Linked DNA regions of Diceros bicornis minor. The main gene of each other region encodes a partner of the protein of the gene in region 2 in a complex. Links are inferred from orthologs where the notes say so. Each region holds a gene or a part of one and is shown on either strand. Other genes may lie near its edges.

Region 1 (11,864 bases), on a different chromosome or scaffold from region 2:
GGGAGGCCCTGGAGGTCTACTGCAAGAAGTATGAGAAGCTGAAGGTACTGCCCGCCTCCCTGCGGCGGGGTCCGGTTGGCAGGCGGGCTGTTCCTGACCTGGTGACCCTTCCAAACTCGGCCTGCCCAGGATGGTGCCGGGCTGTGCAGGGGCAGTTGGGTGTGGCCGTCTCTGCAGTCAACGCTTGCTCCCCCTGCCGTCCCCACCTAGGACCCTGTGCGTGTGCATGTGTGCATGGGCGTGTGAGCATGTGCTCCCGCACACACCTGGGGTGGGGATGCATCTCCTGTCTGGGCTTCTTCTTCCACTGTCTACTCTCTGGCCTCTCAGACTGGGGGGTGGGGTGCTGCGCCTGCCCCAGGCAGAGTTGGGGCTGTGGCGTCTGCCCAGTAGCGTCCAGGAAGTCTCCAGATTGCTTTTGAGGCATTTGACCTCTGTGACTCGGACCTTTCCCAGCTTACTTCTCTGGAAGCTGCTTTCCTGTGAGCTAGGGCGCTGGAGCACCAGCACTGTGCTGACTGCTGTCAGGGTCCCGGGGGCCTGGGCTCAGAGAAGGAGAGGGACCGGAGCACCGGAGGCATGTGGTGTGGTCAGGGGTGCGGCCTGGATGCGGACTGGCCTAGTTTAGTCCTTGTTTCTTCCAGCAGCTGAGTCCAGCATTCTTGGGGCGGGGAGTCCAGGTGGGAGGTGTGGGAAGATGGGGCCTGGTGTGGACAGGGGTTGAGAGTACATAGGGAGGACTCTTCCTTCCACGAGATGGTTCAGCAGAGATGTGTCGGGAGAGAGGAGGGAGTTAGGACTCATACCAGGTTTCTGGGGACAGGTGGAGGAGCAGGCTCTGGGGCATTCAGTCTCACAAGTGGGTTGTGGGGCATGAGAAGGCACAGGGTGCAGCCCAGCGAGCACTCGGGCCTGAGGGGATGCCGGGCACCCAAGCGAGGCCGAGTCCAGCAGGACCTAGGGTGCAGAACCTGAGCCCCAGGAGCACCCGGGACACCCCCAGAGATGGGGGGCGGGGAGCAGCCAGGGCTCAAGGAGCCCTCTGGACGAAGCCCTGGGAGGGAGGCAGGTGGGGCTGGGGTGGAGTGGGGTGGGGGGCCGAGCAGGGCTGGGCGGTAGGAGGGGCGGCAGCTTCTCCAGGTTTGCTGTGAGAGAGGTGCTGGGTGTAGATGCATTTGGTGTTACAGGCCAGGAACCTAGTTGCTAGGAGAGGAGGGCTCAGTGCAGGACAGCCAGTCCCTAGAGGGGAGCTTCCTTCCAGAGACAGGTGAGGGCGGGATCCTGGAGTGGGGAGGCTCCAGTGAGCGCTGGCTGCCAGGCCTCCCCACTTCCCGCTCCTGTCCACGGTGTGGCACTCGCTCTGTGGAGCCTGCCAGCACTGCAGACGCCTCCCCCTGGTTGAGGAGATCTGTGTGCTCGGTGCCCCCCTGCCTCTTCTGGCTGACCCGTTGGTGTGCAGCCTCCCTCTGCTCTGCATTACCCCTGCCAGGGGAGGCCCTGCTGGCTTCTACTAGGGTCTCCACTTGGGTCCTGGGGACCACGCAGGGTCCTGGCTCAATGTACCTGATGTGATGGCCACACTCCAGTACCCTTGGTCTTAACTCCAGCTAAACACTGGAGTGGCTAGGGCAGGTCCCAGGGCTGTGTCGAGAGGGCAGCCTGTGGCCATGGTGCCTCTGTCTCTGACCAGCTGAACTCCTGGCCTGAGGACCATGCTGGACATATGTGGGTGGCTATGCAGCCCACAGAGCATCCTTGCCCATGCTGTCTGCTGCTGGGCCTTGCATCTGCCCCGCTACTGGCTGGAGTGGTGGCTGTAAAGGTCGTGGCCTTGGAGCCAGAGCGCCTGGCTGCACCTCTACTGGTTGCGACCCAGGCAACCTGCGACTCTGCTTTGGTTTTCTCTGCAAAGTGGAGATGGTTGTTGGCTCCCCTTTACGAGCTGTGGGGATTGTAGAAGGACTCAGAGCAGTGTGTGGCCCTGTGACTGTACCGGTGTCCTGGAGGTGGCCGTAACCAAGTACCACAAATGGAGGCTTAAAACAACAGAAGTTTATTGTCTTGGTTCTGGCAACTAGAAGTCCAAAATCAAGGTGTCGTGGGATTGTGCTCCCTCCAAAGGCTCCAGAGGGGAGGCCTTCCTATCTCATCCAGCCTCTGGTGGCTGTAGGCACTTCTTGGCTTGTAGCTGCACCACTCCAACCTCTGACTCTGTCAGCACGTGGCTTCTCCCTGTCTTTCTCTCGCTCTGAATTTTCCTCTCCCTATAAGGATGCCAAGTCGTATTGGATTAAGGGCTCACCCATCCTGTTCTAGTACGACTTCATCTTAAATAATTACACCTGTGCTGACCCGACTTCCAAATAAGGTTACATTTTGAGGTACTGGGGGTTAGGGCTTTAACATCTTTTGGGGGGTCACAATTAAACCCATAAGAGTCCACCCTCTTGTCCCCTGAAATTCATGTTCTTCTCACATAAAAAATACATTCAGCTAATTCTAACATCCCCAAGAGTCTTGACTTTTCCAGCACCAACTCTAAGTTCTATCTCATCTACACGTCAACTCAAGGCCCCAGATCTCAGCATCTAAAGAGCGTCTCAGTCAGTTCAGGAATGGTTCCTCCTGGAGCACAGTGCCCCTCAGCTGTGGACCTGCGAAACCAGACACGTAGTTGTCTGCTTCCAAAGGACAGTTGTGGGACAGGTGTAGGGCAGACACCCCCATTCCAAAATGGAGAAGCCACCAGGAAGGAAGCCAGGTAGGGGTCACAGGCCCGAAGCAGTCTGAAACCCAGTGGAGGAAATTCGATTTGATTTCGAGGACTGAGAAAATCTTCCTTGGCTTGAGGCCATCTTCTCAGCCTGCAGGGGCGGTCCCCGCACCAGGCCGGGCCTCGGCACCCCAGCTCCCCTCAGACTCATGCTCTCATTGGCCGTCTCTCCGTTTTGGTCCAGGCTGGCAGCGTTTTGCTGGTATAAAATCCTCAGCAACCTTGTTGGCCTCCAAGCAGGTAATGGGCGTCCAAGCTGTCGGACGTGGACCCTCACGTCTTTCCTGGACAGCCTCTCTCTGTCCTGGCTTCTCTGAGCCTGCCGGCTAGCCCCACCATTACATGCTCATCTCTTTGGCCATACTCATGGCTTTGTCTCCAGAGCACACAGAAAAATGTCCAGATCAAGTGCTGCCTCCTCTGGCTCACCACTTCCTTCCTCGGTTTTTTCCTGTGTGTTTTACTACCAGCAGCAAGGAGACACCAGGCTGCACCTTGCGCACTTTGCTTGGAAATCTCCTTGGCTAAATATCCAAGGTCGTCACTTGCAAGTTCTGCTCCACACCCAGCAGAACACAGCTCTGTCAAGTCTCTGCCACCTTCTGACGAGGGTCGCCCATCTGCTTTCCACTGACATGTGTTCCTTTCCACAGCCCTCGCCAGGGTGGCCTCTGCTGTCCGTGTTTCTACTGACAGTCTGTTTAGCGCAATCCAGGCTTTTACAACCTGTGGCCCAGAACTCTCCCAGCCGCCACCCATCACCCAGCTCCACAGCCACTTTCACATTTTTAGGTATCTGTTACAGCAGCACCCCCATCCCAGGACCAAAATCTGAATTGCGTTCCTGTGGCCCCGTTAACAAAGAACCACAAACCAGGTGGCTTAAAATAGCAGCAATGTCTGGTCTCGGTTCTGGAGGCCTCTGGAGTCTGAGGCCACGGTGCCGGCAGGGCTGGGCTCCCTTGAGAGCTGCAGGAGAGAGTCCTTCCTGCCTCTTCCAGTGTCTGGTGGTGCCGGCAGTCCTCGGTGTTTCTTGGCTTGTAGCCACATCACTCCCGTCTCTGCCTCCATCTTCACGCCTTTGTGTGTCTGTCTTCACACCATCTTACTTCTTCTTGGAAGAACACCAATCATATTAGATGAGGGCCCACCGGACTCCAGGGAGGCTTCATCTTAACTAATTACATCTGCAGCAACCCTGATTCCAAGTCAGGTCCCGTTCCGAGGTCCTGGGCGGGTAAGATGTGGATGTCTGTTTTGGAGACAGTTCAACTCATAGCAGCAGCCCTTGCCATTAGGTGCTCACTGTTAGGCCCTCATTGTTAGGTCCTCGCCGTTACGTTGTGGTGGTTGAAGGAGCGGGGACCAGAGCCCCACTGTATGCTCATCCTGCTGCTGACTGCCTGCCAGCCTGCCGGGAGTGTGGGGAGCAGGTCAGGGAGCCCTTTCCCCGTTTGGGGTCAGGTAGCAGAGCCTCGTCCAGCTGGGCCTAGCCGGACCCGCTGGGCTGCCTGTGCTGAGCCTGGCCCTCCCCAGGCCATGCGGACCCTCAGCTGGAAGCACACCCTCGGCCTGGTGACCATGGACGTGGAGCTGGCCGACCGCACCCTGTCTGTGGCGGTAACCCCCGTGCAGGCGGTGGTCTTGCTGTACTTCCAGGACCAAGGTGAGCCCACTGGTCCCCAACTGGCCTGCCCCAGCCACACCTCCTGGGGGCCAGTGCTGGGCACGGCTCTATGTCTGCCGGGGTGGGGGGACCATGCAGGCAGCAGCCCCTTCCTCCCCTTTCCCACGGGGCCTGGCTGGGCCTCGTGGTCCTGCTGACCTCTGGGAAGCTGAGCTGGGCTAACGAGGCAGGGGGAGGCTCGGCCTTGCCCAGTCTGCCAAGAGTGCCTGGCTGCCCCTGCACAGCCAGTTGGACCCTGGAGGACCTGAGCAAGGTGGTGAAGATGCCCATGGCGCTGCTGCGCCGGCGGATGTCGGTGTGGCTGCAGCAGGGCGTGCTGCGGGAGGAGCCTGCTGGCACCTTCTCTGTGGTGGAGGAGGAGCGGCCCCAGGACCGAGACAACATGGTGCTCATCGACAGCGACGAGGAGAGCGACTCGGGCATGGCCTCCCAGGCTGACCAGAAGGAGGAGGAGCTGCTGGTGTGTGAGGTGGGGGGTGGCAGCCGGCTTGTGCCTCTGTGTGGTGGCCGCCTGGAGGGTGGCCTGCCTGACGGCCGGCCTGGACACTGTCCCCCCAGCTCTTCTGGACGTACATCCAGGCCATGCTGACCAACCTGGAGAGCCTCTCGCTGGAGCGCATCTACAGCATGCTGCGCATGTTCGTGGTGACGGGCCCCGCACTGGCCGAGATCGACCTGCAGGAGCTCCAGGGCTTCCTGCAGAAGAAGGTGCGCGACCAGCAGCTCATCTACTCGGCCGGTGTCTACCGCCTGCCCAAGAACTGCAGCTGACCTGCCAGGCCCTTCCCACGCCATCCCTGCCTCATCCCTGCCTCGGCATGTCCTTCTCAGGTCCCCCACCAGCAATCCCCACTCCCCGCCATGCCCAGCACCCCCCATGCCCCTGCCCAGCCCCCAGAGTGCAGAGTAAAGCAGATGGTTCTTCACTCTTTCCCTGTCCTGGTGGCTTTATGGGCCCTTCAGGGACACGTGATACAGCTTCTCCCCCCAGACAGGCCTCCACCTCAACCTGGCAGGGCCTGGCTCCCTGGGAGCAGGTGAGGGAAGCTGCACGAGTGGCCAGGCCCAGCCCTGGCCTGCACCCCTGCCTTTGGGCTCCAAACCTGAAGGAACCCTGGGATCTGGGTGTCTCTGGACTGCACGGGCTGGGGAAGGGCCTCAAATCTGAAGCCCGAGGCTCAAGCAGCAGTGCACCAGGGGTTGGCTGCCCTTGAGCCACCTCAGGGCCTCCAGCTCCAGCCTCACTCCTCTGGCCTTTGAAAGGAGCCTTCGGGTCATCCTGCCTCTGCCCAGCCTGAGGGTGTGGCCCCCAGGTGCTGAGCCGAGAGCCCCAGGGCTGCTGCTGGGACGTGTGGGCCCCACAAGAGGCAAGTGGTGGCCAAGCATCTGCTGCTAAGCCAAGACTTTGCCACCTCTCCAGCAGGAGGGGCTGCCTGGGACACGCCCTTGTGGCGAGGAGGACCCGGCATTTGTCCATCTGCCCCGCATAGGGTCGGGCTGCTGCAGGCTTCGGGGCTCACGATGGAGTGTGCTTTCAGAAGGCCAGTTACTTTCGTGCTGCGAGACGTGTGGCCTCGGTGCTCGCATCCTAAGGTGAAGGACCCCGTGAGCCCAGCCTTCCCAGGCGCAGGGGCGTGGGGCTGATGCGTCCAGAGCACTGGGTCCTGTCCAAGGCCCATACTGGGGCCCGCCACTGCCCAGGTCCCAGGAGGCAGGGGAAGGCATTAGTTCTGCCCAGGCCCGAGGCCTTCACAGCTGCCCTGGGCACTACAGCCTCTGTTGCTGAGACCTTCACTGGTCTAGCAGGAACCGCTCTAGTCTGGCGGCGCTGTCCTCACAGGCAACAAAGGCCCTTTGGAACCAGCGCCTCCGCTGTGCTGCTCCTGCCTGCTCGCGGTGCATCCCAGGTGCATCCCAGGCCCCGCACAGCTTCCGGGTCCCCACCAGGCTGCCTCCCAGCCCAGCGCTCACCCTACCTCTCTGCTTTGGCCTGTTCCACGTGGGGTCCTGACAGCAGTCCCACTTCCAGGACTTGCCCCTCTCACTCCAGAGAGTTCTGTTTGCACGGGGTTTGAAGGGGGAAATGGTAGGAGTGAGGCCCCTAGCCTTAGCAATTTAAGGAGTCTGATGAGCCAACAGCCCCCTCCCTTGGGCTCTGCGCACCAGTCCGCTCCAGTGCTGGCTGTGCTATGGGCATAAGAGGGCTTCCCGCCCTCCTCTGAGTGCTGCTGGAGGCCCCGCCTGGCACTGGGCTGGGTGCACCTTCATCATCCTAACCAGGATGCAAACCGGCTGGACTGGCCTAGCAGGGTGGCAGCACCAGCCCCCGGGCACTGGCACACCTGTTCCTTGTCCCTTTGGACTCAAGTTTGTGGACAAGTGTAGTAAAGTCCAGCGTGTCTTGGGTCACAGTATCACTCATGAGGCACAGAAGTGTGCCACAAGCTGCTGGCTGTTCCCCGAGGGCCCCACCAAGAGGAGGGCACCTGTGCCAGGGGTCACAGAGGTCCATGGTGGCCAGGGGCCAGCTGGGGCAGAGCTGTGCCCTTCTCCCTGGCACCCAGCGGGGTCATTGTGGGACGGGGCATTTCCTCCTGCTTGTGGTTGGCTTGGCAGGGCCTCAGGGGAGGGGGAAGGGCCAGTGCAGGAAGTGGGGGAGGAGGATGAGGTTAACCCTGACCACACCAGCCTGCAGGCAAGTCCCTTGGGCAGTGCTTGCCTAGTTTGCAGGAAGCTGCACAGGGAACAGACCCTTGGAGGGGCGGGCAGGTGGGCCCTGAGGTGGCAGTGGGCTCTAACTTGAATGCCACGTTTAAGCCAAGCCTTGGATGCTGCCTGCAGTCATTTCTGAGCCACCTGCTCCTAGAGGAGGGTGTTCTGGGAAAGCTGTGGCCTGTGGGTAGCGCCCCCCACCCCCGTCCTGGGTGATTGGGGATCCCTGAGGGGCCCTCCAGACCTGGGCATTGCTGGGGTGTGGGCAGGACCCTCCTCAAAACAGCCAGTGTGAGGGCAGCAGGCACAGGCCCACCCCAGCCTCCTCAGCCCCTGCTTGTCCCTGTCTTGGGGGGAGGGTGGTGACATCGGTCAGCCCCCCCCCCCCCCCCCCCCCGCCAAGCTGCTGCACCTCTTACCCTGAGGCCGAAACTGAGGCCCGGGGCTGCCCGTTGTGGACCTCCAGGTCACTCGGCCACTATCTTCACCACCTCAGGGGCCCAAGTGTGAGCCCCACCCCTTCCCTGTGAAGCGCTACCCCAAGGCCGGGGCAGCCCCACCATTTTCTCTGCCTCAGATCTGGCCAGTGCACTAGGAGTGGCTCCTGTCCACCGTACCTGACCCCCCTCCCCCCAGGGCTGCCTATTCAGAGCTCCTCAAATCCAGGTGCCCAGGGGCGAGTGAAACTCTAGCTGGGGCCCTGCCCCCACCCTCCCTGCCTCACAGCCCAACTGTGACGTCAGCGCCTTCCGACGAGTTCCGTCCAGAGGTTTGCCTTGGGGCCGGGGGCTGGACATGGCCCCCCGTCCCCAGCCTGACTCCTGCCTCGTCGGCAGCCCCCTCGGCCTGATATGTGTGTCCCTTTTGCTCATCCCAGCTGCAGGTGCCGCCTCCTGCCCCCATGCCCTGCCCCAGCCAGGCCCTCCCTGGTCCAGTTAGGCCAGGCACCTATGTCCTGGTGGCCACACGGTGGGTGGCACCCCAGGGTCTTCCGCCGTGGGTGACGATGGCCCTGTCTCTGCAGCTGGAACCTACTGCGAGTGCAGCCTTGGCCTCAGCCGCGAGGCCCTGATCGCCCTGCTCGTGGTGCTGGCGGGTGTCAGTGCCAGCTGCTTCTGTGCTCTCGTCATCGTGGCGGTTGGCGTCCTGCGAGCCAAGGGGTTCGTGAGCCCCAGGACTGGGGTGGGTGGGTGAGGGCCATGATGCCCACCCTGGGCCCTCGGTCTTGCCAGGAGAGGGGCCTCTGCCCCTGGTGGATGTCACCAGGGGCTTGGGAATGGCATTTCCCAGGCTGTGGGGTTGGTGGGGGGCGGAGGGCACTTTGGGGGTCCTGTAGGCCAGCCCCATTGTTCCAGGATTCACATCTACCTTTGTCCTCTCCAGTGAAACATGTCCTGGACACATGGACAGCAGGTGAGTGACCCTAGGGGAGGCCTGCCAAGGGTGAGCTGTGTCCCTGCTCCCTGCCCCGGGACGTGTGGTTCACAGACACATCGGGGCACTGACCCCAGGGCTGGGTGTGCCCTGGGCGGTCAAGGCCTCGTGAGCCGGTGCTGACCACCACCCGCAGCTGGCCTGACCCAGCCCGTGGCGTGCAGGTTGGTGGGGCACTTCGGGGTGCAGGAAGATCACATGGACTTGCACACGGTGCATGTGGAGTCCCACCTTGTGGAGCCTGACCTGGAGGTCTCCATGATGCCGTCCCTGGAGGATCACGGCCTCATGACCATCCCCATGGACTCGACGGCTGCATGTGTGACTCTGGAGGAGCCGCCCTGCCCACCCCCACCACTTGAGTAGGGCTGCACAGCGAGGGGGAAGGGGAATTAAACAGTATTTAGTAGTTCTGTGCTGTCGTCCCTGCCGGCTCCTCCTAGAGCCCCACCCCACTGGGCAGCTGTGTCATGGGGTGGGGAGGGGTCTGAGCGCACCTGGGTCATTTCTTTTATCTTCGATGGGGGTGCCCCGTTTCCACACCAGGCACCCACTGTCCACCTTCCAGGGCAGGGAGCCACACCCTTGGTGTTTCCACTTCCTCCTGCCATGGTCTCAGCCCAGCTCCTCCCTGCATCTTCCTGCTGCTTTGTCCCAAGAAGCTGGCAGGGCTCTTGGGCCCCTGCCTCCCCCCACCCCCCTAAACCCCCAGGACAGGACCTACAACTCTGGCGACTCCAGAGGGAGCAGCATTTGACAGGACTTGGGCTGGTGCCCTGCCCCACCCACAAAGTCTCCTTGAGGTTCCAGGAGAGTCCTTAGAGGGCAGGGTGGGGCAGACCTGACTGGGCTCCCCTGCGCCAGGTGTGCAGTTCCTCCTCCACCCCACAACCTGCCTCTGGGCTCAGCCCCATCATGTGCTCGTGCCCCACCAATCATCCGCCATCAGGATGGGACCGTCCTTATGTGGGGGGCCACTGTGTGTGTGCACTAGGGTCACTCTGCTGAGCCTGAGGCGGCGGTGAGGAGCAAGGTGCACTGGGTCCCGTTCCGTGTGTGGCATCCATGAGTTCGGTGGGTACAGGGGTGGGTGTGGCGGGGTGTCCAGCTGCTCAGGCCTCAGTGGGGCGAGGGGTGGTGGACGAAGCAGGGGAGGAGGGGGGGCGTCTCCTCAGCGCCGCTGCTGGCGCAGAGCCAAGAGGAGCCCAGGGCTCTGGGACAGATGGCTGGCAGTGCCGGGCGCTGGCTATGTGCCCAGCCCCCGCCCTAGGCGCGGGACCAGCCATGGGACAGGAACTGCCGGCCCTCGAGCCGGAGAGTTAATATCTGTGAGGGTGCCGCAGGGACGGACCGGCTCCGGGGACGGACGGGTTCCGGAGACGCACGTACAGCAGACCTCCCACCGCGGGTCCCACCGCTGCCCCCATGCGGAGTCCCTCTTTTCTCTTGCAGCGGCGGCCGCCGCTGTTGCTGCTGCTGCTGTCGCCGTGGCCAGTCTGGGCCCAGGCGCCCACTGCGGCCGCCCCCTCAGGGACCCCGGGTGCCCCGGACTGCCCCGAGGCGTGCGCGTGCGCATCGGGCGGTCAGGCCAACTGCTCGGGGCGCGAGCTGCCCGCCGTGCCTGCGGGCCTGAGCCGGAGCGTGCGCGCGCTGCTGCTGGACCACAACCGCGTGCGCGCGCTGCCGCCCGGCGCCTTTGTGGGCGCTGGCGCGCTGCAGCACCTGGACCTGCGCGGCAATGGGCTGCACTGGGTGCACCCGCGGGCCTTCTGGGGTCTGGGCGCTCTGGAGCAGCTCGACCTCAGCGCCAACCAGCTGGAGGCGCTAGCGCCCGGCACCTTCGCGCCGCTGCGCGCGCTGCGCAACCTCTCGCTGGCCGGCAACCGGCTAGAGCGCCTGGAGCCTGCGGCGCTGGGCGCGCTCCCGCTGCTGCACGAGCTCAGTCTGCAGGACAACGAGCTGTCTGCGCTCGCGCCCGGCATTCTGGCCGGCCTGCCCGCTCTCAATGCGCTGCGCCTCCGCGGCAACCCCTGGGCTTGCAGCTGCGCGCTGCGCCCGCTCTGCATGTGGCTGCGCAGGCACCCACGGCCCGCGCCAGGTGAGCCCTGGGGTCGCGGGCGGGCGGGGGCGGCCACTGACGCCGCCGCCGCCGCCTCCTGACGCCACCCCGTGTCCCGCAGAGACCGAGACGCTGCTCTGTGTGTCGCCGGTGAGCCTGACGCTCAGGCCCTTGACCGCCTTCCCCGATGCCGCCTTCCGCCACTGCGCACAGTCACTCGCCCCGCGGGACCTGGCCGTGGTCTACGCACTAGGGCCCTTGTCCTTCCTCGCCAGCCTGGCCGCCTGCCTGGCGCTGGGCTCCGTGCTCACCGCCTGCCGCCGCCGCCGCGCCGCCGCCCGCCGCCTGCCGAGGAGACCGCCGGATCCCGGCCCCTGCTCGGCCTCGCCCGCGGACCCTGGGAGCCCCGCTGCCGCCGCCCAAGCCTGAGGCTGCCCTCGAATCTTCCCTCTACTCCCTGCCCTCCTTCACACCCCTGCAGGCGTCAACAAGTAACACAGACCGAACTTCTCGTGACATTCCTTTAGGCATCACCACTGCACACACCGGGTCGTGGGGCGGTGCGCGCCGGGCCCTGGGACGGAGGGGCAGCGCGCGGCTGCGCACGGGCCGCAGGGGAAGGCACGCGCTCGGACACGGGAAGGGCTGGACCTGTACAAGGTGGTGGGCAGGGCTGAGGACAGTCCTGAGCCAGCGTCTGGAAGCCCATCCTGGGCTGCAGGCTGGAGGAGGCAAAGACAAGGCTCGGCCCTCTGGAGTCCGGAGGAGAAGGTCGGGCGGAGGCAACGGGAGCCGGAGCGCGCCCCTGGGAGGCGGCTGCCAGCGGGGGGGTCAGGGTCTGCCATCGGGGAAGGGCAGGGCCAGCTCGGAGGATGGGGTAAAGTGGAGGCGGGGCGAGGGTAAGAAGAGGGTAAGAGGTGGAGCCGAGGCTGCCAGGAGCAGGCGCTGGAGGAGGGGTGACCCAGCCAGCTGGGGTTGCGGCCCCCAGGCGGCTCTGGTGGTGGCTGGGGAAGGATGGGGCTTCAGTCTGTGCTCCAAGCCCCTCCGTTGGGGGCCAGGTTGGCCCCTCTCCCCACTGCTCAGAGACCCCAGGGCCCTGCCTCTGCCGGAGTGCCCTGTGGCCCTGCCCAGCCAGCTCAGCTCTGGCCCGTCCTCAGCCGCTCTGGTCCGTGCCTCGGTCCAGCAGGGGCTGCCCGCCA
Region 2 (12,293 bases):
TACTATACTGGAAATGAAAAATTCATTAGAGGGACTCAAAAGCAGAGTAGAGGATACAGAAGAACGGATCTGTGAGCTGGAAGAAAGACTAGAAGAAATTACCCAAGGTGAACAGGTAAAAGAGAAAAGAATTAAAAAGAGTGAGGGCAGTCTAAGGGACCTCTGGGACAACATCAAGCACACTAACATCCGTGTTATAGGTGTCCCGGAAGGAGAAGAGCGAGACAAGGGGGCAGAGAATCTATTTCAAGAAATAATAGATGAAAACTTCCCTAACCTAAGGAAGGAAACAGACATCCAGGTACAGGAAGCACAGAGAGCCCCAAACAAGATAAACCCAAAGAGGCCCACACCAAGACACATCATAATCAAAATGTCCAGAATTAAAGATAAAGAGAGAATCCTAAAAGCCGCAAGAGAATGTCAAGTTACGTACAAAGGAAACCCCATAAGGCTATCTGCTGACTTCTCAGCAGAAACCTTACAGGCTAGAAGAGAATGGCACGATATATTTAAAGTACTAAAAGAAAAAAACTTACAGCCAAGAATACTCTACCCAGCAAGGTTATCATTCAAAATGGAAGGAGAGATCAAAATTTTCCCAGATAAGCAAAAATTAAAAGAGTTTGTCACCAAGAAACCAGTGCTACAAGAAATGTTAAAGGGACGCATTTAAGGGGAAAAGAGAAGACCACAAATAGGAAAAATTATCTATTTCCATGATTAGAACGTAATGGATACAAATGCACAAAAAAGAGGTTAGATATGATATCAAAAACATAAAAGGAGGGAGGAGGGGAGTTAAAGAGTACAGCTTTCAGACAGAGGTCAAACTAAAGTGACCATCAATTCTGTATAGAAGAAGTAAGGAACAGAGAAGGACTACTACAACACTGAGGAAAAAAAAAATTAAAAAAATGGCAGTAAGTACATACTTATCAATAGCTACTTTAAATGTCAGTGGACTAAATGCTCCAATTAAAAGGCATAGGGTGGCTGATTGGATAAAAAAACAAGACCCGTATATATGCTGCATACAAGAGACACACTTCAGACCTAAAGACACTCACAAACTGAAAGTGAAGGGATGGAAAAAGATACTCCACGCAAATGGCAATGAAAAGAAAGCTGGGGTAGCAGTACTCATATCAGACAAAATAGAATTTAAAACAAAAACTGTAAAAAGAGACAAAGAAGGGCATTATATAATGATCAAGGGAACAATCCAACAAGAGGATATAACACTTGTAAATATCTATGCACCCAATGTAGGTGCACCTAAATATATAAAGCAATTATTAACAGACATAAAAACAGAAATAGACAGTAACACAATAATAGTAGGGGACTTTAACACTCCACTTACACCAACGGATAGATCATCCAAACAGAAGATCAATAAGGAAACATTGGCCTTAAATGACACACTAGAACAGATGGACCTAGTAGATATATACAGAGCATTCCATCCAAAAACCGAAGAATACACGTTCTTTTCAAATGCACATGGAACATTCTCCAGGATTGATCACATATTAGGCCACAAAACAAGTCTCCATAAATTTAAGAAGATTGAAATAATACCAAGCATCTTTTCTGACCACAACAGTATGAAACTAGAAATCAACTATAGGAAGAAAATCAGAAAAGCCACAAATACATGGAGATTAAACAAAATGCTACTGAACTACGACTGGGTTAATGAAGAAATCAAAGAAGAAATAAAAAAATACCTGGAGACAAATGAAAATGAAAATATGACATGCCAGAATTTATGGGATACAGCAAAAGCGGTTCTAAGAGGGAAGTTTATAGCGATACAGGCCTATCTCAAGAAACAAGAAAAATCTCAAATAAACAATCTAACAATGCACCTAAAGGAACTGGAAAAAGAAGAACAAACAAAGCCCAAAATCAGTAGAAGAAGGGAAATAATAAAAATCAGAGCAGAAATTAATGAAATAGAGACCAAAAAAAAATAGAAAAAATTAATAAAACCAAGAGCTGGTTCTTTGAAAAGATCAACAAAATTGACAAACCTTTAGCTAGACTCACCAAGAAAAAAAGAGAGAAGGCACAAATAAGTAAAATCAGAAATGAAAGAGGAGAGGTTACAACAGACACCTCAGAAATACAAAAGACTATAAGAGAATACTATGAAAGGCTATATGCCAACCAATTCGACAATCTGGAAGAAATGGATAAATTCTTAGAATCATACAACCTTCCAAAACTGGATCAAGAAGAAGTAGAGAATTTGAATAGACTAATCACCAGTAAGGAGATCGAAACAGTAATCAAAAACCTCCCCAAAAATAAAAGTCCAGGACCAGACGGCTTCCCTGGTGAATTCTACCAAACATTCAAAGAAGACTTAATACCTATCCTTCTCAAACTCTTCCAAAAAATTGAGGAGGGGGGGAAGCTCCCTAACTCATTCTACGAAGCTGACATTACCCTGATACCAAAACCAGACAAGGACAACACAAAAAAAGAAAATTACAGGCCAATATCACTGATGAACATCGATGCGAAAATCCTCAACAAAATACTAGCAAATCGCATACAACAATACGTTAAAAAGATTATACACCATGATCAAGTGGGATTTATTCCAGGTATGCAGGGATGGTTTAACATTCGCAAATCAATCAACGTGATACACCACATTAATAAAATGAAGAATAAAAATCACATGATCATCTCAATAGATGCAGAGAATGCATTTGACAAGATACAGCATCCATTTATGATAAAAACTCTGAATAAAATGGGGATAGAAGGAAAGTACCTCAACATAATAAAGACCATATATGACAAACCCACAGCTAATATCATCCTCAATGGTGAAAAACTGAAAGCTATCCCTCTAAGAACAGGAACCAGACAAGGATGCCCACTGTCACCACTCCTATTTAACATAGTACTGGAAGTCCTAGCCAGAGCATCAGGCAAGAGAAAGAAAGAAAAGGGATCCAAATTGGAAAGGAAGAAGTGAAACTGTCACTATTTGCAGATGACATGATTTTATATATAGAAAACCCTAAAGAATCCACCAGAAAACTTTTAGAAGTAATAAACGAATATGGTAAAGTTGCAGGATACAAAATCAACATACAAAAATCAGTTGCATTTCTGTATACTAACAACGAAGTAGCAGAAAGAGAAATTAAGAATACCATCCCATTTACAATTGCAACAAAAAGAATAAAATACCTAGGAATAAACTTAACCAAAGAGGTGAAAGATCTGTACACCGAAAACTATAAAACATTTCTGAAAGAAATTGAAGACGACGCAAAGAAATGGAAAGATATTCCGTGCTCTTGGATTGGAAGAATTGACATAGTTAAGATGTCCACACTTCCTAAAGCAATCTATAGATTCAATGCAATCCCTATCAAAGTTCCAACAACATTTTTCACAGAAATAGAACAAAGAATCCTAAAATTTATATGGAACAACAAAAGACCCCGAATAGCTAAAGGAATCCTGAGAAAAAAGAACAAAGCTGGAGGTATCACACTTCCTGATTTCAAAATATACTACAAAGCTATAGTAACCAAAACAGCATGGTACTGGCACAAAAACAGACACACAGATCAATGGAATAGAATCGAAAGCCCAGAAATAAACCCACACATCTATGGACAGCTAATCTTTGACAAAAGAGCCAAGAACATACAATGAGGAAAAGAAAGTCTCTTCAACAAATGGTGTTGGGAAAACTGGATAGCCACATGCAAAAAAATGAAAGTAGACCCTTGCCTTACACCATGCACAAAAATTAACTCCAAATGGATTAAAGACTTGAATGTAAGACCTGAAACTATGAAACTTCTAGAAGAAAACATAGGCAGTACGCTCTTCGACATCGGTCTTAGCAACATCTTTTCAAACACCACATCTGACCGGGCAAGAGAAACAATAGAAAAAATAAACAAATGGGACTACATCAAACTAAAAAGCTTCTGCACAGCAAAGGAAACCATCAACAAAACGAAAAGACAACCTAACAATTGGGAGAAGATATTTGCAAACCATACTTCTGATAAGGGCTTAATCTCCAAAATATATAAAGAACTCATGCATCTCAACAACAAAAAAACTACCAGCCCAATTAAAAAATGGGCAAAAGACCTGAACAGACATTTCTCCAAAGAAGATATACAGATGGCCAACAGACACATGAAAAGATGTTCAAAATCACTAACTATCAGGGAAATGCAAATCAAAACTACAATGAGATATCACCTCACGCCCGTCAGAATGGCTATAATTAACAAGACAGGAAACAACATGTGTTGGAGAGGATGTGGAGAGAAGGGAACTCTCATACACTGCTGGTGGGAGTGCAAACTGGTGCAGCCACTATGGAAAACAGTATGGCGATTCCTCAAAAAAGCAAGGATAGAACTACCATATGATCCAGCTATTCCACTGCTGGGTATTTATCCAAAGAACTTGAAAACACCAATTTGCAAAGGTACATGCACTCCCGTGTTCATTGCAGCGTTATTCACAATAGCCAAGACTTGGAAGCAACCTAAGTGCCCATCAAGGGACGAATGGATAAAGAAGCTGTGGTATATATACACAATGGAATACTACTCAGCCATAAGAAACGATGAAATCCAGCCATTTGTGACAACATGGATGGACATTGAGGGTATAATGCAAAGTGAAATAAGTCAGAGGGAGAAGGTCAAATACCGTATGATTTCCTTCATTAAGTAGTAGATAATAACAACAATAAACAAACACATAGGGACAGAGATTGGATTGGTGGTTACCAGAGGGGAAGGGGGGGAGGGAGGAGGGTGAAAGGGATAATTTGGTACATGTGTATGGTGATGGGTTGTAATTAGTATTTTGGTGGTGAACATGATGTAATCTATGCAGAAATAGAAGTACAATGATGTACACCAGAAATTTTTACAATGTTATAAACCAATAAAAAAAAAAAAAAAGTTCACCCAAAATGAAGCTTCATTTGGAGAATTTCTGCAACACCAAATCCACTAAGAATCCTCAAATTTCGCACCCTGGCTGTAAATTTGGGGGTTAGCCTGGCAACTCCCACCAGCACCCTGGGTGTGCTACCTTGCTCCAGAAATAAAAAACGACTTTCGCCGCAGCAATGCTTCCTAGCTCCCCAGCCCCTCCTGGGTGCCTCTGCCGGTCATTATTTTAAATAAATGAGCCTATTATGAAATGTTTACAGGTACAAAGAGATGGAGCTGCTTCTGCCTCCGGAAGAGGAATGGACTTTCAGGAACAATGACTTGCTTCAGCAGCACTTCTGTCAAAGCAAGGCAAAGAGCACAGGACAGATGCCGTATCTCACCCAGGGTCTCCGCAAGCAGAGGCTGCTCAATGGCGAAAAGGCTCTTAACGTCAATTTTGGTGCTGGAGGAATCGGAACGTGATCCCCTCAGAGGTTTCTGGCTGAAGATGGCTCAAGGAGGGAGATTCAAGACTGAAATGGCTTCAAAGAAGCTAACTTCTCTGGGAAGGACCTGGCCCTTGGAGATGTGACCCCCTCCTCACAAGGCATCCTTCATCCCGCCCAACTCCATGGTCACGGGCCCTGCTCCCTCTGCTAGATGCTTCCCTTCTCTGTATATTGAGATACACCTGGAAAGGAGTCCAGAAGAAAAGAGTTCTAGGAGATGAGTGAGAAGCACAGGCCTTATCACACAGGGAGAGTTTTCGGATTTATTTTTAATGAAATGCAAAGCCAGGAGAGGGCCACGCAGGGATGCCCCTGGACTATACCCTGCTTCTCTCCAGCTGCTCCGGACAAGAGGACTAATCTTCTCTCTCCTTCTGCAGTTCTCCTAGTGCCTAGCACATTGCCAAGTGCATAATAGGTCTGCCGTAAACCCTTGCTGCCTTTGCTGATTGAAGGACAGTAGAGGGAACGAGAAAACATAGAAACATTTTGGGCTGCAAGGGCACAGACTATCGCTCCCCCACTCATTTTATCCATGGAGGCACCGAGGCCTTGAAAGGGAATTGACTTGTCCAAGGTCACCAGAGAGGTTTCGGCAGAGCCAGGATAAGAACCCAGTTTTCTGCTGATCACAGTTCCTCAGATGAAAGTAAGTGATTGTCACCTCTACTCTCAGATCCCAAACTGATCTCAAACACGGTCACCAATCCCCAAGGCCCAGAGACACACATAGCATGAACCTAGGTGAGTAAACTTGTCCTTTCTGATGATCTAAGCTTTCCTCCTGGAGAGGTCTAAGGTGGCAACCAAGTTGCCCACCTCACGGCTCTGGGCAGCTTCCCTGGGAGCCCACGTAGTTGCCTGTGGGATTAAGCAGGTCCTGAAAACAGCCGCTTTCTTTGCCGGAAGTTATTTTCTCCCCCAGGGCACAAGCCCAGGCAGAAGGCTCTGTGAGTACCCGGCTGGTATAATTAGCTCCAGAAAGATCCAGCAGGACACACAAGGAGGATGGTCTGGACTCCTCCCAATGGGATTCCAAATCCCACGCCTTCCTGTGCAAGTAGGGGTCCAGAGGCCAACAAACCCAGCAGGCTGGTGTGGCAGCCAGGGAACCAGTAGCCTCTGCCCTCTGCAATGCCACCTTTTTGTGATTCGGCCTCTGTTTCAAGCTATTTTTACTGTAAACAAAGCCTGAATTTGAGGGAGGGTGGTGTGGGAACAGGGTCTTTTCTTCCTCTCTGCTTTTCAACGAGCTGCTCCCCGTTTCCCTTAGGACAGTTGCTCCACCAACAGCCACAAAAAGGAAAGGAAAAAAAAAAAAGACTAAAAAGAGAAATGGGGTAAAGGTCAAAATTGAGCCTCTTTGCTAAGGCAGTCTGGGAAGAGTTCTAGGAACATGAGGGTTTCTCAACCCTTCAGATTAATCTGTTGGATTCTAGATTCTCCACAGGTATAAGAAACCAGTATGCCCAGTCCATTTACTTTCTGGATTAACCCACCTCCCACAAACAAGGAAGGCCCAGAGGTCTGCTTGCCCAGGGAGGAGGCACAGTTTACAGGTAACCTTCCAGGCCCTCGGGAAAGATCTGTGTCCCCGCAGGCTTGGGAACTGGGAACCAAGTTTCCACTCAGACAGGCCCCTGGCTTCAGCTTCTTTGTGCCTGCCATGCCAGCACCAGGCCAATTTTCTGAACTAAAATTAACTGGATGGGCAAAAAGATAGCCCTGGTGCGTAAGAGGCCTGGGTGCATCTAATTCCTTAGATGCACCCAGTAATCGAGTGCCCTAATTCCTTAAGAAAGACAGAGAAGCAACTGTCCTGTCCTACTTCCCTCACTACTCAAACACAGGAGAATATTTTTTGCAATAAAATTTTTAGGGCAAATGGTGGATTTCTGTTGTCATTCCCCTGAAGTAGCTGTTTTTCTGGAAAAAGCCTCACTCTGGACCCAGACCCTAAAAATGGGGCTTCTAGTGCACCAAATTGGGATGTTTGGGGCCTGGAGGCATGCATCAGTCTGCCTCCTCCTAAACATAGCCTAGTAAACTAAACTTGGAAGCATTAGCTTGCATGTGGTCCCAAGTGTGACTTTCCAAGCACGTGCTTCCCCGCAACGACAATGGCTGGCGACTTCGTCATCATCATCATCTCTATTTTTGAGCATCCCTGCTAAACCAACTTCCTTGCAGCGGAAATGGAGGCTCTAAGGAGAGTCTCAGTCCACCGGCATATTTTTCTGGCAAATAGGGGCTGCTACACTACTGGCATCCTCCGAAGGCCCCTGGGGAAAAGCTGGGTGAGAAGCTCTCCCAGCCCAAGATGGTGGGCTCCAAATACAGGCATTCCATTTCCTACAGAGCCTCCAGGGGGCGCCAGCTCTTACTGGTGGAAGGGAGGAAGGGAGGGAGGGAGGAAGGAAGGAAGGAAGGAAGGAAGGAAGGAAGGAAGGAAGGAAGGAAGGAAGGAAGGAAGGAAGGAAGGAAGGAAGGAGTGAGTCTAACACAGTTGCTCAGGCCCCTTGAGTCCAGCAACAGGAAGACCCAGGATGTGAGATCAAGATTAGAAGAGTCAGGCTCCCAGGCCTGTCCAAGGGCTGATGCGCAGGTCACAGGCTCTGATTTATCACCAAACTACTTCACAAATCTTGCTACCCAAAAGCATTGTAACAAAATGCAGTCATCACATTTTCATTTCAGCACTGTGGATGATTTCACTTTACAGATTTTGCTAGAAAAACCAACATGTGTCCAGTGCCTTGAATAGCGTCTGACACCTAGCAGGTGCCCCAGGAACGTTTGAAGGAAAGGATGAAATAGCTCAGAAGAGACGCCTTGCATGTACAGGAGAATCTGTCTCCTTATCTTCTGGTGACTTACACTTTCCTGCCTCCTTCCAATGGATTTGTGGTTGTTGCACACCAAAATGGATATTAAAGACACCTCCCTGCATGCTGGTGCTGACGTGCCCTCTGAAACCAGCCCTGTGTCTGTCAGCCTCGCCCACACCCAGGGAGGACTGGACACAGGGACCACAGTGAACGCAATGAAGACGCATCTGTCATCCTGCCAAGGTGTTTCCTGTGATACACGCGCTGACAACGCACAGCTCCCAGGGAGAGCCCAGCCTGCCTTCGGCCCCCGGCCAGCTCGGGGAGGCTATAGGAAGTGAGAATTTCCTGGCTGACTGGACAATGGTGAGTCAGGCTGCATGAGCCAGCTTCAGAAATGACAGGGTCTGAATTGTGTGCGTGGAGCAAACATCCTCAGCTGGCTGGACCGAAACCAGGCCCTGCCTGAGACACTCAGACCCCTTTCAAGTGGCCATGCCCAAAGCTAGCTCAGTACTCTGAGAGGACGTCTGGGTTTGGTGAGGTCTCAGGGCTGCTCCATCTCTGTCCCAGGAAAGGATTTATTCTCCTCTCCCTACCCCGTGTGTCTCCGCACGAGCCCATTTCCTCCAGGACATACTGACTGGGCTCACACAACAATAACAAAATAATAATCACTAATGCTTATTAGGCACTAACCATGTAATAAGCACCATTCCAAACATTTCACATGTATTAATGCATCAAATCTTCACAACAACATTAAGAGACAGGGACTATTATTATGCCCATTGAAGGGGGATGAGGAAACAGAGGCACCAAAAGATGAAGCGACTAGCCCAGGGCAAAAGCCCTAGGGAGTGGTGCAGCTGGGACTCAGCAGAGTGACTGTAGAGGCTGGGTTCCTAACCGCCCTACTGTACCACACATAGCAGCCCTCCACTTTCCAAGGGCCTCAGCACCCCTTCCCACAAGTGCATGTTCTGGGGAGAGAGGAAAAGCAGGAGCTGGAGACCTGGGGATGCTAAGTGCTCCACCTATCCTCCTTGTTGGTTCCAATCAAATGAGAAGGTGACACAAGGAGCCAGACGGAGATCAGAGGAGAGTAGGAGCCCCAGTTCAGATAACGCTGGATCAGCAAGGGGGCAGGGCTCCTATCTCCCAGTCCCGACAGAGAAGCTGAAACACAGAGAACAGATGCACTGCTGACCGGCAAGGGAAGGCCCTGAAGTGCCCTGCCTTATTTATTAGGCACCCACTGACTGGGTGCTACATTCAATTCTGTGTTCCGAGGAACACCAGTAAAGGTATGTGGACTGGAAAGATGGATGCATGGATATAGATGGATGAACGGACAGACAGATGAGGTGGAAGGACAAAGCAAGCACCCACTTCCCCCAGAAACTCCAGAGGAGAGAGGCAACAGCAGCATCAGCACTTGCCACGGGAGCCCAGAGGCCCTGGGAGCCAGAGATGAATGGCTGGGACGAAGCAGGTTGCTCCTGGGCCAGGAGGATCTTCCTCTCTCTAGAGCTGAAGACTGATTTCTGAACCTCTCCTTCCTTTTCACAGGGGAGGTCAGAGAAGCCAGCACACCAGCTAGTAAAATTAACAGCTGCTCTTTACAGAATGCGCTGGAGAGGTCGGCACACCGAGCACGTGGCCTGCAGCAGCCAGCATGGCTGAGGCGCCTGGCCTGCAGGCCCGAACCAAGAGTGTCCTCGTGGTAGGGACTAGACTCTGGGCTGCCGGGAGAGGCCTGGGGTGTGCTGACTGCAGGGGATGCAGACAGGTGGAGGGAAGACTTCGGGAATGACCCTGCTACAAATTCCCAGACACTTTCCACTGACCTTGGGAACGGGAAATCCATATGCTGAGCCAGCTGAGAACCTGCTGTGGAACTTGGGGGCCCACTTGGCTCTGGCTTCTGTCTCCACATGTCTACCGCATCATTTAGTTGAGCTTGTGGAAGTAAATGTAGCGGCTCTCCATGAGAAGGGGATAGATGGTACATCTTATCAATCACCTTGTGCCACGAGGAAGAGTGGACCAAGTCCCACTGGCCACTTAGAGAGGAATCTTGACAGTCATAGAGCAGAAGGGGAACTTGATGATCTAGTCCCGAGGTTGGCAAACTTTTCCTGTACAGGGCCAGACAGTAACTATTTTAGGCTAGCGGGTATTTCGGACTCGGTGGATACTACTCAATTCTGCCGTTGTAGCGCATTGCAAAAGCAGCCAGAGATGATATGTAAATGAGTGAACATGGCTGCGTCCCAATTAAATCTTGTTTATGAACACTGAAATTTGAATTTCATATAATTTTCACATGTCACAAAATATTCTTTTGATTTTTTTTTAAAATGTAAAAACCATCCTTAGCTTGTGAGCTGTACAAAACAGGCAGTGACCCAGCTGTGAGCCACTGGTCGCAGTTTGCCCATCCCTGGGCAGTTACACGTTTCCCAAAGTGTGTGCTTTGTGATGCCTACAGGTGCTTCACAGGGAAAAGGTTCTGTGGTGAAAGAGGAATGGGAAATGCTGGGCAAAACGACGTCCTGCTTTCTTACTGCAGGACTTCTTCGCGCCTTACACGCTGATACACATGGCCATCTTGAAAGGGGATGAGAAATGAATTCTGTCCAAGTTCCATTTTTATCCTGGAGCATCTCCTAGATCTAGTTTTCTGTAAAACCTAATTAAAACAACAAGGATGAAGTCTGACCAACAGTCAGCAACAGCACCACCAAATGTGATGCTGCCTCCCTTTGAACATCTCCAGTGACAGGCAGTTCACAACCTATTGTGGGTGCCTGCTGGATTCAGTGACTCCTCTGACTCATGTTTCCCCATCCAGTGATGCTGGGTCACCAGTAACAAATCTAGTGCAATCTAGTGCATCTTTCTTCAAACGAAGACAAAATTTCATGTTTAATAATATAAAGAAAGCACACCTTCAACTTATTGATTCATACCCAAAATATAAATTCTATTTATGGGTATTATAGGATAAAATGAAGAGCCATTATCAAGTCCTGGAGGGGAATTACCACATGCTTCCTTGAGAAGAAACCTCACTTAGGGGACTTAAAAAAAACTCAAATGAAATCTCAGTTTACTCCCAATTGCACAGAGCAGGACCTAAATGTTTGCTATGGGAGCCTTCTTACTAAAAATACAGGCCCTTGAAGCCTCTGGTCTTTAGGTACGGCATTTGTAGGTGATATAAGAATTTTACGTAGATTTGCCTAAAATGTACAAAAAAAAAAGGTAGGGGGGAGCATAGATGAGAGGAAGAGAGAGTAAGATGGAAACGTGAGCTGTGTGTGAATTTACCACCAGGTACCACTGAAAAAAAAAGTAGAGGATGCTGAAGAAAATGTCACCAGCACCACGAGCCACCTAAAGGGAGAAATGAAGGCCATGAATGTCACATATTTGATCAAGTGTATACCCATGTGCACCTCCACTTTGTTCAACTGGTCCAATTTCACGTGCAAACAGCACAGCAGGGAACGTATCTATTTAACTCTATTAAACCAACAGGATTATTTGTATTTGAAAGACGTACACATTTGATACATATTTTCTTTTGGGCCCTAGGAGATAAGGATGGAGTGGTCCAGCCTGTGTACACAATGTTAATGTAAAATGCCATACATGCGATATATTTGGGAAGATAAAGGGAAAGACCGGTGTTTTTCTTTCTCCTGATTTCGATAGATCATCCCCCTCACGTTAAAGCAAGTAGCACATATTTTCAGTTCATGGATTAGATGTGTATGTTTCCTGGAGCAATATCCAAATGTCATCGCATGGAAATATGGGGAAAATAACCAAAAAGAGTAATTCTAAGGTCTCTATCTTTTTTAAAGGGAAGGTTCTGCTTGGTTTTTTTTTGGACATGAAGGATTTTTTTTTTTTAAATAATTTTATTTATTTATTTTTTCCCCCAAAGCCCCAGTAGATAGTTGTATGTCATAGTTGCACATCCTTCTAGTTGCTGTATG

Evidence for each region.
Region 1: the proteins of KCNMA1 (region 2) and LRRC26 are in contact, whole or in part, in a cryo-EM structure (PDB 7YNZ), measured with the Homo sapiens proteins. The link is inferred for Diceros bicornis minor from reciprocal best matches to the Homo sapiens genes KCNMA1 and LRRC26. Residues at the interface, in NP_001154824.1 of Homo sapiens: Pro78, Cys79, Asp80, Ser81, Arg82, Gln84, Trp88, Ala92, Ser93, Val96, Thr97, Glu155, Trp158, Met159, Ser161, Val162, Trp165, Cys206, Leu226, Leu227, Phe229, Gly230, Leu231, Phe233, Ile234, Asp251, Phe252, Pro256, Phe259, Val260; in NP_001013675.1 of Homo sapiens: Gly204, Cys205, Gly206, Cys207, Ala208, Arg236, Leu237, Ala249, Phe250, His252, Cys253, Ala254, Gln255, Leu257, Arg260, Asp261, Leu262, Val264, Val265, Tyr266, Leu268, Gly269, Pro270, Ser272, Phe273, Ser276, Leu277, Cys280, Leu281, Leu283.

What each region holds. Positions count from the first base shown.
Region 1 is NC_080767.1:43,701,401-43,713,264, reverse strand, and holds LRRC26 (leucine-rich repeat-containing protein 26), read left to right. Parts: upstream 1-9,827; 5' UTR 9,828-10,031; coding exon 10,032-10,704; intron 10,705-10,786; coding exon 10,787-11,094; 3' UTR 11,095-11,308; downstream 11,309-11,864. Other genes in the region: ANAPC2 (anaphase-promoting complex subunit 2), read left to right, coding at 1-44, 4,310-4,439, 4,685-4,920, 5,019-5,231; TMEM210 (transmembrane protein 210), read left to right, coding at 7,968-8,055, 8,197-8,332, 8,556-8,585, 8,771-8,972. UniProt on the Homo sapiens protein: Auxiliary protein of the large-conductance, voltage and calcium-activated potassium channel (BK alpha). Required for the conversion of BK alpha channels from a high-voltage to a low-voltage activated channel type in non-excitable cells.
Region 2 is NC_080745.1:29,681,389-29,693,681, reverse strand, and holds the start of KCNMA1 (calcium-activated potassium channel subunit alpha-1), read right to left. Parts: upstream 5,580-12,293; coding exon 5,551-5,579; intron 5,410-5,550; coding exon 5,348-5,409; intron 5,303-5,347; coding exon 5,223-5,302; intron 1-5,222. UniProt on the Homo sapiens protein: Potassium channel activated by both membrane depolarization or increase in cytosolic Ca(2+) that mediates export of K(+). It is also activated by the concentration of cytosolic Mg(2+).